Linked DNA regions of Caenorhabditis elegans. The protein of the gene in region 1 interacts with the protein of each later gene in a pairwise test. Each region holds a gene or a part of one and is shown in the gene's direction. Other genes may lie near its edges.

The links.
Region 2: the proteins of daf-3 (region 1) and eef-2 interact in a two-hybrid assay, tested with the Caenorhabditis elegans proteins (one study listed by BioGRID).
Region 3: the proteins of daf-3 (region 1) and lap-1 interact in a two-hybrid assay, tested with the Caenorhabditis elegans proteins (one study listed by BioGRID).

Annotation. Positions count from the first base shown.
Region 1 is NC_003284.9:823,660-827,414, reverse strand, and holds the start of daf-3 (Smad protein daf-3), read left to right. Parts: upstream 1-1,988; coding exon 1,989-2,013; intron 2,014-2,152; coding exon 2,153-2,341; intron 2,342-3,245; coding exon 3,246-3,347; intron 3,348-3,568; exon of another isoform or gene 3,569-3,573; coding exon of another isoform or gene 3,574-3,601; coding exon 3,602-3,755. UniProt on the Caenorhabditis elegans protein: Transcriptional regulator and common SMAD (co-SMAD), required to regulate entry into a developmentally arrested larval state known as dauer, in response to harsh environmental conditions.
Region 2 is NC_003279.8:9,161,672-9,165,426, forward strand, and holds the start of eef-2 (Elongation factor 2), read left to right. Parts: upstream 1-1,905; 5' UTR 1,906-1,982; coding exon 1,983-1,985; intron 1,986-2,277; coding exon 2,278-2,492; intron 2,493-2,538; coding exon 2,539-2,893; intron 2,894-2,941; coding exon 2,942-3,118; intron 3,119-3,164; coding exon 3,165-3,755. Other genes in the region: clsp-1 (Claspin), read right to left, coding at 392-574, 680-992, 1,036-1,098, 1,144-1,450, 1,495-1,590. UniProt on the Caenorhabditis elegans protein: Catalyzes the GTP-dependent ribosomal translocation step during translation elongation.
Region 3 is NC_003281.10:8,400,202-8,403,956, reverse strand, and holds the start of lap-1 (Leucine aminopeptidase 1), read left to right. Parts: upstream 1-2,028; 5' UTR 2,029-2,047; coding exon 2,048-2,189; intron 2,190-2,840; coding exon 2,841-3,160; intron 3,161-3,507; coding exon 3,508-3,755. Other genes in the region: ubxn-4 (UBX domain-containing protein 4), read left to right, coding at 44-133; cutc-1 (Copper homeostasis protein cutC homolog), read left to right, coding at 350-666, 999-1,434. UniProt on the Caenorhabditis elegans protein: Probably acts as a digestive enzyme.

The DNA of each region.
Region 1 (3,755 bases):
TAATGAATAGTTTTTAAATCCCCATTTCTTAAAGAAAATTTTATGAATGCTCCACATATCTTATATGCCTCTGTAAACATTTTAAAATTCCGTGTTCACAAGTTTAGAGTACAAGAAAAGTGTCTTCAATAAAAATTGAACTTTTTGTTTCTGCTGTGATATCTTTCACGATAAAATCTTTTGAAAAACCATCGCTTTTATAGTACTAGAGGTGTTAATAATTGACGGTTTCAAGGCTAAGATCACGCGATTCTTTAGTTGAATTTGTTTTTTGATTGTTTGGACTGTGAGATTGTAATTTTTTTAATCTTGTAAGTTTTTGTGCAATGAAAAATGCCTTAACGACTTTCATATAAATTTCTCTTATTCCTCTTGTTTAAAATGTCTACCACAAATTTTTAACAGTTATAACTAAATTGGGCAAAATTTGTTATTTCAACTTTACAAAAAAAATTTAACTTTTTTTGAATACTCTCTGTAGACGCGGTTTTTTTTTCAGAATTATGGTGGCCACCTTTTCAATAAAAAAAAATTATCTGAAAAATGCCATGGTCTCTCTGACCTTCGGCCCACATTGTATCTACGGATTTCATTCAAATATTTGCGGTTTTTTTTGACCGCTTGATCAAACTAATGAACTTTCATCAATGCAAACAAAATTTTTTCGCCAAAAGCAAATGACTAGCCAACTTTTTTTTTCTGTTTATGTTCAAATAGTTCAGTGGTTTCTTGTTAATTAATTATGACACAGTTTTGGTCACAAAATTTGAGCGTTTTTTTCGCTGAAACAATTGCACAAATCTAATACAAAACATTCTGATATCACACGCATCAATTTGGCGAGATTTCAAAAAATCAAACTGAGATGAGACCAGTGAAAACAAAAAATATATATGAGTCATCTAGAAAGTGATCTATACATTTTGTAGATCTTTTTTTAAAAATTGTGATGTTTGAGTACTTACAATGTAGGTCTACCACTTATTTTTTCTAGTTAGCTCACTATTTTATGCTTAGCATAGGTCAAACTACCCTTATAAAAAAAAACAATTATTTAGGTAAAAACGCTTGAAGTTCTTTTTTTCCTTTGTTTTGCACGAGAGGTTTTTTGTAAGTTTCTTATCAATCTCTTTTTTCAGTAAAAAAAGATCAAAACATCAAACCGAGGTCATGTGCACTCTCTTGTAGCTCTCTACTTGTTCCCTCATTATCTTATTCCCCCCGTCTTCTCACTTGTTGGTCCAACTACGCTCAACTTATCGATTCTTTGCAGCGAGCACTGCCACCTCAACACACTTTTAGCAATGAAATAGTGTGCTGGGCGAAGAGACGCAGACACACGTACGTAGTTTAAGAGTGAGCGAGATAGAGTGTGCGTAACGAGAAAAAGAGATAGAAGACGAAGAAACAAGTAGTGGTTTGGTTTCGATCTTTTTTTTTTAATTTGGGATATTTTTATTTTTATTTTCGAATTGTCAATTATTATTATTAATAGACTGTCAAAAATTACTTTTAATACCCCGTATTTGAACACGTTCTTTTTTTTATTTCTCTTAAATTGATTCCAAACAAGTTCCTATTAACACAATTCTTTTCAATTTTCTTTTCGAAATCATAATATTTTTTAAAAGTTAAATCTGTGGTTTTTTGGTTTTCCTTTCTGAATATGTTTTTACTGAAAACACCAAAAAATCTTGACAGTAGCTCAAAATATCAAGCTTTACAATTAAAGTTTTTCTCAACTTTTTTTTTCCCCTATAAACACAATCTCCCTTTATTCCCAAAAATACCACGAAACATGATATTTCAAAAAAAAAAGACAAACAGGTTTATACCACAGTTTGTACCTTTTATTGTCCATGCTGGTATTGTATTTCCTACTTCTTTGCCGCCCGGTTTTTCCTTGTTGTTTTAATTTTATTCCAAAACTCAATTTTACAGGTAATCAAATTGTAAAGGAAAAATATTAATAGTCAGAGTACACATAAATGGGTGATCATCATAATTTAACGGGTGAGTTTTTGTTTTATTGAAATTACTTTATTTTCGGAATGTTATTTAAAAAAAAGTTACAGTTTGAATAAAAAAACAGGATCTTCTGTTTCAGTTTTGAAAAAAAAACCAATTCCATAGTCCATATCCCAACTTACAGGCCTTCCCGGTACCTCCATCCCGCCACAGTTCAACTATTCTCAGCCCGGTACCAGCACCGGAGGGCCGCTTTATGGTGGAAAACCTTCTCATGGATTGGAAGATATTCCTGATGTAGAGGAATATGAGAGGAACCTGCTCGGGGCTGGAGCAGGTTTTAATCTGCTCAATGTAGGAAATATGGCTAATGGTGAGTTTAAATAGTAGCTATAGGAGTGAAGTGTTTGGAGTGTCGTGTTGGATATAAAATATCAATTAAAATAGATTCGAATTATTCAGAAAATCGCTTATTTTGGTAGTAGAACAAATGTTGATAAGTTAACAGACATCTTCTTTTTCCAATTAGTCTTGCACCCGAAGTGACTAGTTGGAAAATAGCCTTGCAGTTTCTATTAATTTTGTACATACTAATCTAGTACATTTCTAGAGAAAATTTTAGTATTTTAAGGTGGCAACGAGTAGTGCGGAACTCAAAATTCTCTTACATTCTCTTATATCTACTTACATTGAAAATTAATTTTGCACTCAAAAAATACCAAATAAAAAATAGGGTACTTGTTCCCGCTATTTTTGAAATTAATCAATTTTTCATTAATTTATCTATTTAAATTAAACTTGATATCTATTTTCTTCGTTGGGCTCAGGAATGGTAAATACGAGTTTTATAAGTTTTTATTTTATAAGTTAAAAAATTAATTTCTAAAATAGCGGAAGCATAATACACAAGTACCAAAAATAGTTATACATGCAATTTTGTCCATAGAATACTCTGAAACAACCTTGGTATTAGCTGCAAAACTGCAACATTATCAATTTAAAAAGGTATTTCTAATTGCAAATAAAATCGTAGCATTTCTAACAGTTGCCTAATTCTCGCTTTCTATTTTCAAATTTCAATTTTTTTTAAACTTTCAAGTAATGCAAACTCTGTAAAACACTGAAATCTAGTGAAAACCAAATCAATTTCCCTACGTGATTAGTAGTCGTGGTGTATGGTGGTTTGTGTTGGTTTGATATGCTTATTTTCCTTTTTGTTTTAAAAACCTTCCCCGTTTTGTTGCTTTTTAAATTTTACATTTCAAACTGAAATTCAGAATTTAAACCAATAATCACATTGGACACGAAACCACCTCGTGATGCCAACAAGTCATTGGCATTCAATGGCGGGTTGAAGCTAATCACTCCGAAAACTGAAGGTAAATAACGTCGAACATAGTAGTATAGCTTGAAAATAAAAAAAAACGTTGAATATGATGCATAAATGGTGCAATAGAAGGTTCAAAAGAATTTGTTGCCAACAAAAAATCTAAAATTTCAACACGAACCTCATGATGTTTACCGTCTGGCAGTCACTAACACACGTATTGATAAGCGAATTGTTGCCAAATTTCGTTGCTTATCAAACCTTATTTCTCTCTGACCATGAAGCTAATAGCAACTTCTCTTCTAGTTCCCGACGAGCACACACCGATGATGTCACCAGTGAATACAACTACAAAGATTCTACAACGGAGTGGTATTAAAATGGAAATCCCGCCATATTTGGATCCAGACAGTCAGGATGATGACCCGGAAGATGGTGTCAACTACCCGGATCCAGATTT
Region 2 (3,755 bases), on another chromosome or scaffold:
TAATTAAATCGTTTGGAACACAGAACAATGTTTTCGAAAGTGAATAAGCGATCGTGGACGATTTTTTCTTGTATTTTTTTTTTAAGATTTGCAGAAAAAACCACAAATTAGAAAGTCAAAAAAAAACAACCGAAATTTCATTTCTTCACAGTTGAGCTGTAAGCGCGCTCTATCGATAATCAAGATTTGATAAAGGAACGAGATCCAAAAAACCTCTCTAAATTTATGAGAAAGAATTATCAAGTTCTCTATTTAAAAGATTTACAACAAATTATCTTTTGTTTAATGATTTGATAAACTTTTTCTTTGAGAATGCGAATAGTTTCAAGGAAAAGAAAAAGGGCTCCAATTTCAGATTTTCCGGAATGAGATTAAGTTTTCTAAAACATACATTTTTCTTTCAGTCGTGTCTTCTTCTATCAACATTTGCAAAGTGTCTGGAAAACCAGCAGACTGTGAAACTCCAAAACTTCCAGGGCACAAATTGAGAATATCGTTGGATCCGCCAGTAATTTCCGTCATTGTCGGCAGTTGAACTACTCCATTTTTTTCAACAACATCTGCTTCGGAACGCCTAAATTTTATTTATAAAAACTCTATCAATCAGAGATTTCTTTGAAAGATCTGACACATATGTTACACAAAAACCGCAGAAAATAAATTTAGATGAAACACTAACGAGTCGAAATTTGAAACAGTTGATCCAGGTCCTGATCTCTTCACATTATTGAAAACATCGTAAGTAAACGAGTCATTCAACAAGTTCACACTCATTTCATCGTCGGCTCGGCCATTATTCTTCTCATCTGAATCTTCTTCTCCGCTATTTTCAGGTTCATAGTCTTCATCATCTTCGCTTTTATATTCTTCTTCATTCACAGGTTTCTTTCCCTTCTTTTTTTTAAAAACGACATCTTCTTCCTCTTCTTCATCACTGCCAGCCTTCAGATGTTCATTATCCTCTTCATACATTTTCCGACGTTGCTCTTGTTCTGAAAACTCAAAAATTGTAAAAATTTAACACGAAGCCGATACCTTTCCGTCGCTTCGCTGACATCGAAGCTTGAAGCTTCTTTTTTAAAGTCTCGCTGGTCAGAACTGGAAAAAGTAAGTTAAATCAGAATTATTACGAACGAAACTAACGGCTCTTGGGTGCGTTCTTCGATATTTTTCGAGGAACGGCGAATAATTTAGCTTCTTCCGGACTTTTTGCCAATTTCGGAATTTTTTCAGCATTAAACGTCTTTTTGAACCATTTGTTACTTGGGTCATCATCTTCATTTGTCAGGTCAATCGTACTATTGGCAGATAATAGGACTCTCCCAAGCTTCGGAACAGGAAGAGGACTTCGTTCTAAAGCCAGTGCTTTACGACGATTAAGACGACGAAGTTTTCGGTCTTCTTCAGCTTGCTTATCGACTTCCGTGTTTTCACTAGATATCAGCTGCTCCTGAAATATGTATTTCGATCCAGTTTCGGTCTTAAAACCATTACCTGGGAATCGGACATGGTGTGTTCGGCAACTAGAGAAGATGGAGAATCTGTATCGTCTGCTGACACGGTTTTTGTTGAACAGGAATCAGAATTCATCTGGAAATTAAACTAAAACAATATTAAAAAGAAGTTTGGAAAATTTCAGTCTATAGAGCGTGATTTTCTTCGGTCAGTTATAAAGTACAACATTATGATAAATGTAATGGCCCTTTTTTGACTTTATTAAGAAAAAGTTAAACAGATTTGACAATTTTTTGTAGAAAAATAAGGAAAAAATGGCATTAAGATTCAAAAGTAGGCGCGAAAATGAATTGGTTGGCAGAGCGCCAAGTGTTTGAATTGGCGCTCTACCGTACTTTGCCTGCACATCTAACAGATCTTGCTGGAGGAGTTGACAACGCAAATTTCTTTACTCTTGTCACGCCGCTATCCTCTGTGCGGTCCTTTTTTGTTGTTGTATCTGAAGAGAACCCTACAAAAAACTAAAAATGGTGAGTATTTATCCCTCTAATTATTGTAACTGTACGTTCTGATGAATTGTCGTCTATTATTTTCGAAAAAAATTTAGGACAAAAACGTAAAGTTTCAAAATAATTAAATGAAATTAGCAAATTTTGGGCCTACTGAGATTTCGTTCCCGGATATGTTAATTAAATTAAATTTCAACTGAGAACCATTCAGTATTATCAAAATCTGAATTAAATTATGGATTTTCAGAAAAAATTTCGTTAGGTAAAATTTCATAATTTTTATCGATTGAAATAATTATTTTTTCCTCTTCAGGTCAACTTCACGGTCGATGAGATCCGTGCGCTTATGGATCGCAAGCGTAACATTCGTAACATGTCTGTTATTGCTCACGTCGATCACGGAAAATCTACCCTTACCGATTCACTCGTTTCCAAAGCCGGTATTATTGCCGGATCCAAGGCTGGAGAGACTCGTTTCACTGACACTCGTAAGGATGAGCAGGAGCGTTGTATTACCATCAAATCTACGTAAGTTCATTTTTAGGATTTCAGCTTAAATATAATATTGTTTTAGTGCTATCTCTCTTTTCTTCGAGCTCGAGAAGAAGGATTTGGAGTTCGTCAAGGGAGAAAACCAATTCGAGACGGTTGAGGTTGATGGAAAGAAAGAGAAATACAACGGTTTCTTGATCAATTTGATCGATTCACCCGGTCACGTTGACTTCTCGTCTGAAGTTACTGCTGCTCTTCGTGTTACTGATGGAGCTCTCGTCGTCGTCGATTGTGTTTCCGGAGTGTGTGTCCAAACCGAGACTGTGCTGCGTCAGGCTATTGCTGAGCGTATCAAGCCAGTTCTTTTCATGAACAAGATGGACCGTGCCCTTCTCGAACTTCAACTCGGAGCCGAGGAACTTTTCCAAACCTTCCAAGTAAGCTTTGTGTTTCAACTGTAACATTGTTATATATTTGTCGTTTAGCGTATCGTTGAAAACATCAACGTCATCATTGCCACTTACGGAGACGACGATGGACCGATGGGACCAATCATGGTTGATCCATCTATCGGAAACGTCGGATTCGGATCTGGACTCCACGGATGGGCCTTCACCCTCAAGCAGTTCGCTGAGATGTACGCCGGAAAGTTCGGAGTTCAAGTAAATTGATTGTTGTATGTTAAAATTATATAAAATATTTTTACAGGTTGACAAGCTCATGAAGAACCTCTGGGGAGATCGTTTCTTCGATCTCAAGACCAAGAAGTGGAGCAGTACTCAGACCGATGAGAGCAAGCGTGGATTCTGCCAATTCGTTCTTGACCCAATCTTCATGGTCTTCGACGCCGTCATGAACATCAAGAAGGACAAGACCGCTGCTCTTGTTGAGAAGCTCGGAATCAAGCTCGCCAACGACGAGAAGGATTTGGAAGGAAAACCACTCATGAAGGTCTTCATGCGCAAGTGGCTTCCAGCCGGAGACACTATGCTCCAGATGATCGCTTTCCATCTTCCATCCCCAGTGACTGCTCAAAAATACAGAATGGAGATGCTCTACGAAGGACCACACGACGACGAGGCCGCCGTTGCTATCAAGACCTGTGATCCAAATGGACCACTCATGATGTACATCTCCAAGATGGTGCCAACTTCCGATAAGGGACGTTTCTACGCTTTCGGACGTGTGTTCTCCGGAAAGGTCGCCACTGGAATGAAGGCTCGCATTCAAGGACCAAACTACGTTCCAGGAAAGAAGGAAGATCTCTATGAGAAGACCATTCAGCGTACCATTCTTATG
Region 3 (3,755 bases), on another chromosome or scaffold:
TGTGTGCATTGTTATTTTCTTTCCATAATGAAATTATTTTCAGCGTGGAAACGTCGCAGGGCTTGAAAATCCGAATGAAGACGATCCTGAAGAGCGAGCCAGTTTCAATGGAAATTCTACTCAGTTCATGTAATAATGTAAATTTCTTGTCGCCTGTGATTCCAACACCAAAAGTTCATCGCCATGGATAATTTATTTTTTGCTCGTTTATAATTCGAATCGAATAAAAGTTTTCATTTATCCCAGATATGTTCAGTTTTCTTGCTGAGTTTTCGGATTTTAAACCATAACTTTATACCTATTCTTTACAATGTTAAAAACATATTTTCTCAAACTCTATTGTGTTAAGATGACAGAAACAGAATCCCAGAAGCAAATAAAACTGGAAATATGCATCGATAATCTGGAATCTGCGGAAAATGCTGTTGCCGGTGGAGCTGATCGATTGGAAGTTTGCTCAGCTTTACAACTCGGAGGGCTCACTCCATCCGTCGGATTTGTGTCTATTCTGAGCTACAAGTATCCCGATATTCCACTTTATTGTATGATTCGCCAACGGGCAGGCGATTTTGTGTATAATGAAGACGAAATGGCAGCGAATATGGAAGACGTTGAATGGCTCAAAAAAGCTGGTGCCACAGGATTCGTTTTTGGAGCATTAACATCGTAAGTCGGAGAGTTTTAAATTGAATGAAACAAATAAATATATTATAATTTTATTTCCAACATGTTTAAATGAAAAAAGAAAAACATATTCTTGTTTCATTTCGAATTTTTCACCATTTTCCGCAAATAAATTCTCAATCAAGTTTATCAATAAAAATTTTACATAACATTTAAATAATTATTTTTAGGCTGACTTAATTTTTGAACAATGCGGAAAGCTTGTTTTTAAAAAACATTTAAAATGCATAGACATGCGGCAAAATTACGAAAGAAGTTTTGTAATTATAACGGTTGATTGCTCTGGATGATCCACAAAAAATTTCAATTTTCAGAGCCGGTTCATTGGATCGTACATCATGTCAATCAATAATTGAAACTGCCCGTCCACATCCTGTCACATTTCATCGAGCAATTGACGTCGCCTATGACTGGAAAACTTGTCTTGAGGACGCTATTGATGTTGGATTCAAAGCTGTTTTGACAAGTGGACAAGAGCCGTCAGCACTCGACGGAGTTTATATCATTCGAGAAATGCAAGAACTTCACAAAGGAAAGATCGATGTTCTCGCAGGTTGTGGTGTGAACAGTTCGAATGTCGCGAATCTTGTCGAATGGACTAAATGTCACTGGTATCATGCTTCAGCTTCTGTTGCCAAGAAAAATGCTCCATTGAATAAGGTGTCAATGGGAAAACAGGACAATCAGCCATCACGTGTCACTTCTTTGGAAGAAGTACGGATGTTGAAAGCGACATTGGCCCCCGTTTAATTATGTTCAATTCTTTTTCATGTCATATTCCAGTCTATATTGCATGCTTCATCATAGTTTCTAACATTTTCATTGTGTTTTGCAATTAGTTGGCTAGAATTTTTCTGTACCGAAAGTTATTTATTAATTTTAGAAGCTCACTAATCAATTAGATATTCGAAGTAGCATGTTTTTTTACTCTACGGGATTGTGAGGGTTATCAATTTATTTATGCCTAGGCAACTTTAATATAGGAGTTGATTTGAACTTAATTAAAATTTTAAATTTCGCTCCTCATTATTTCACAACCTCTCAAATTTTAGACCACGAATGTATGCAAACACGCGCCCTGAAGATTTGTTCCTTCTCTCAATTTCTCATTTTTTTGCTCTACATTTTCTCTCGCCATTTTTTATCATCCTTTTCTCGCATTTATGTTTCTCTGGTCACTCTTTCTCTACCTGCTGGAGGAACTGATAAACGGTTTATTTGAGTAATAATTTTTACACCTTTTTTCTAAAAAGAGTTTGCCTTTTTTAGTCTGAATACTATAGTTTATACTTTCCAACTTTGTTTTTTTTTAATTCAAAAGGTTTTCAAAGTTTCTAATTTCAGTGATTAGTGTCACCTAAAAATGACACAAGTCCTCGTTCGTAACGGGATTCAAGCTGTTGGAGATGGCCTGACTAGCCTAATCATTGTTGGAAAGAAGAGTGTCTTGAAAAATGTGACTTTCGAAGGAAAATTCAAAGAAGTCGCACAAAAGTTTGTTACAGGTTCGGTTTTGGTAGATTACACAAACGCGATGTTTTTTGATTTTTGTCCAAAATTACGGTACATGGTCACTTTCGTTTAAAAAAATTCATATATATCTAGAGATATCTATATACATACTAAATATTAAACATATATTAAATAAAAACACATACATTTTAACAAAGCGCGGAAGAGACTATGGAAACATACCCGTGCGGCATTTGGTTTCGGCATTTGAACAAAATGCACTTTTTCATAAATATGAAAATACGTATATGTATGAAATAGCATACGATGAGAAGCCTGACTCTTAGGCTTGTCACCAGTCAAAAAAATTTCAAAAAAAGTTTACCCCTGCTCGAGATATGCACCCAAATGCCGTATGGCGAATGCCGTATGCCGTATGCCGTATGACGTATTTTCATATTTATGAAAAAGTGCATTTTGTTCAAATGCCGAAACCAAATGCCGCACAGGTATGTATGGAAAATCATGAACCATTCAGAATAAATGAGATTTTGAAATTACAGTACTCTAAAAGACCCACACCTCCCTGTAGTTTACAAAAATGTCTCTTGTCGAGACCTGGTACCGTATGGTTGGTGTAAAGAGAACAACATTTTGCATCTGCAGATGGTTCATACTTTTCCATAATATAAAAATAATTTCAGATGGCGACTCATGGAACTCTATGATTTCTCGAATCCCCGCCTCAGGACGTCATCCTCTTCACTACGAGCTGGCTCATTTGATCACTGTCCCAGATGCCTCTTCACGTGGAAATACCCCCACTAATGCTCATTCGATATATAAGGAGTTAAAACCAATCAACTATCCTGAGGATACAAAGAATGTTCATTTTGTGCTGTTTGCTGAATATCCAGATGTTCTTTCTCACGTTGCGGCTATTGCTCGGACCTTCTGCAAGTTCTCGATGAAAACTTCAGGAATTCGTGAACTGAATGTGAATATCGATGTGGTTTGCGACAAGGTATGTGACAACTATCCTTCATTTTGATATATTGATCTGTATAGTTTTATCATCACTGATAGACAGCAGACACCATGTGCTTGCTTCTATTTGCAAAGTCAGCCTGGAGACTATTCTTTTCTGGAATTGTGTGCTGATAATGTAGAAATACGATAAGAGTTTATTGCGTAGTGTGACGAAATTAAAAAAGAGGAACTAGTAGAATCATTTGATAGCTTCTGCAAAATTCGGCGGTCTTCATGAACTTCCGTTGATAAGAAAGTTATGTGTCCTTCAAGATCTCAATCTCAAAATCCGAATTAATTGTTTTGTTTTAATTGAAAAACAAACATTCAATTTCTTTGCAGCTCACCAACGAGGATGCAGTTTTCCTTACTGATCTCTCAGAATCGGTCCGTGAAACCGCAAGACTCATCGATACTCCAGCCAATATCCTGACTACTGATGCTCTTGTTGATGAAGCAGTCAAAGTTGGAAATGCGACTGGATCAAAAATAACAGTGATCCGTGGGGAAGAACTGTTGAAGGCTGGATTTGGCGGAATCTATCACGTCGGAAAAGCTGGTCCAACACCACCTGCGTTTGTTGTCTTGTC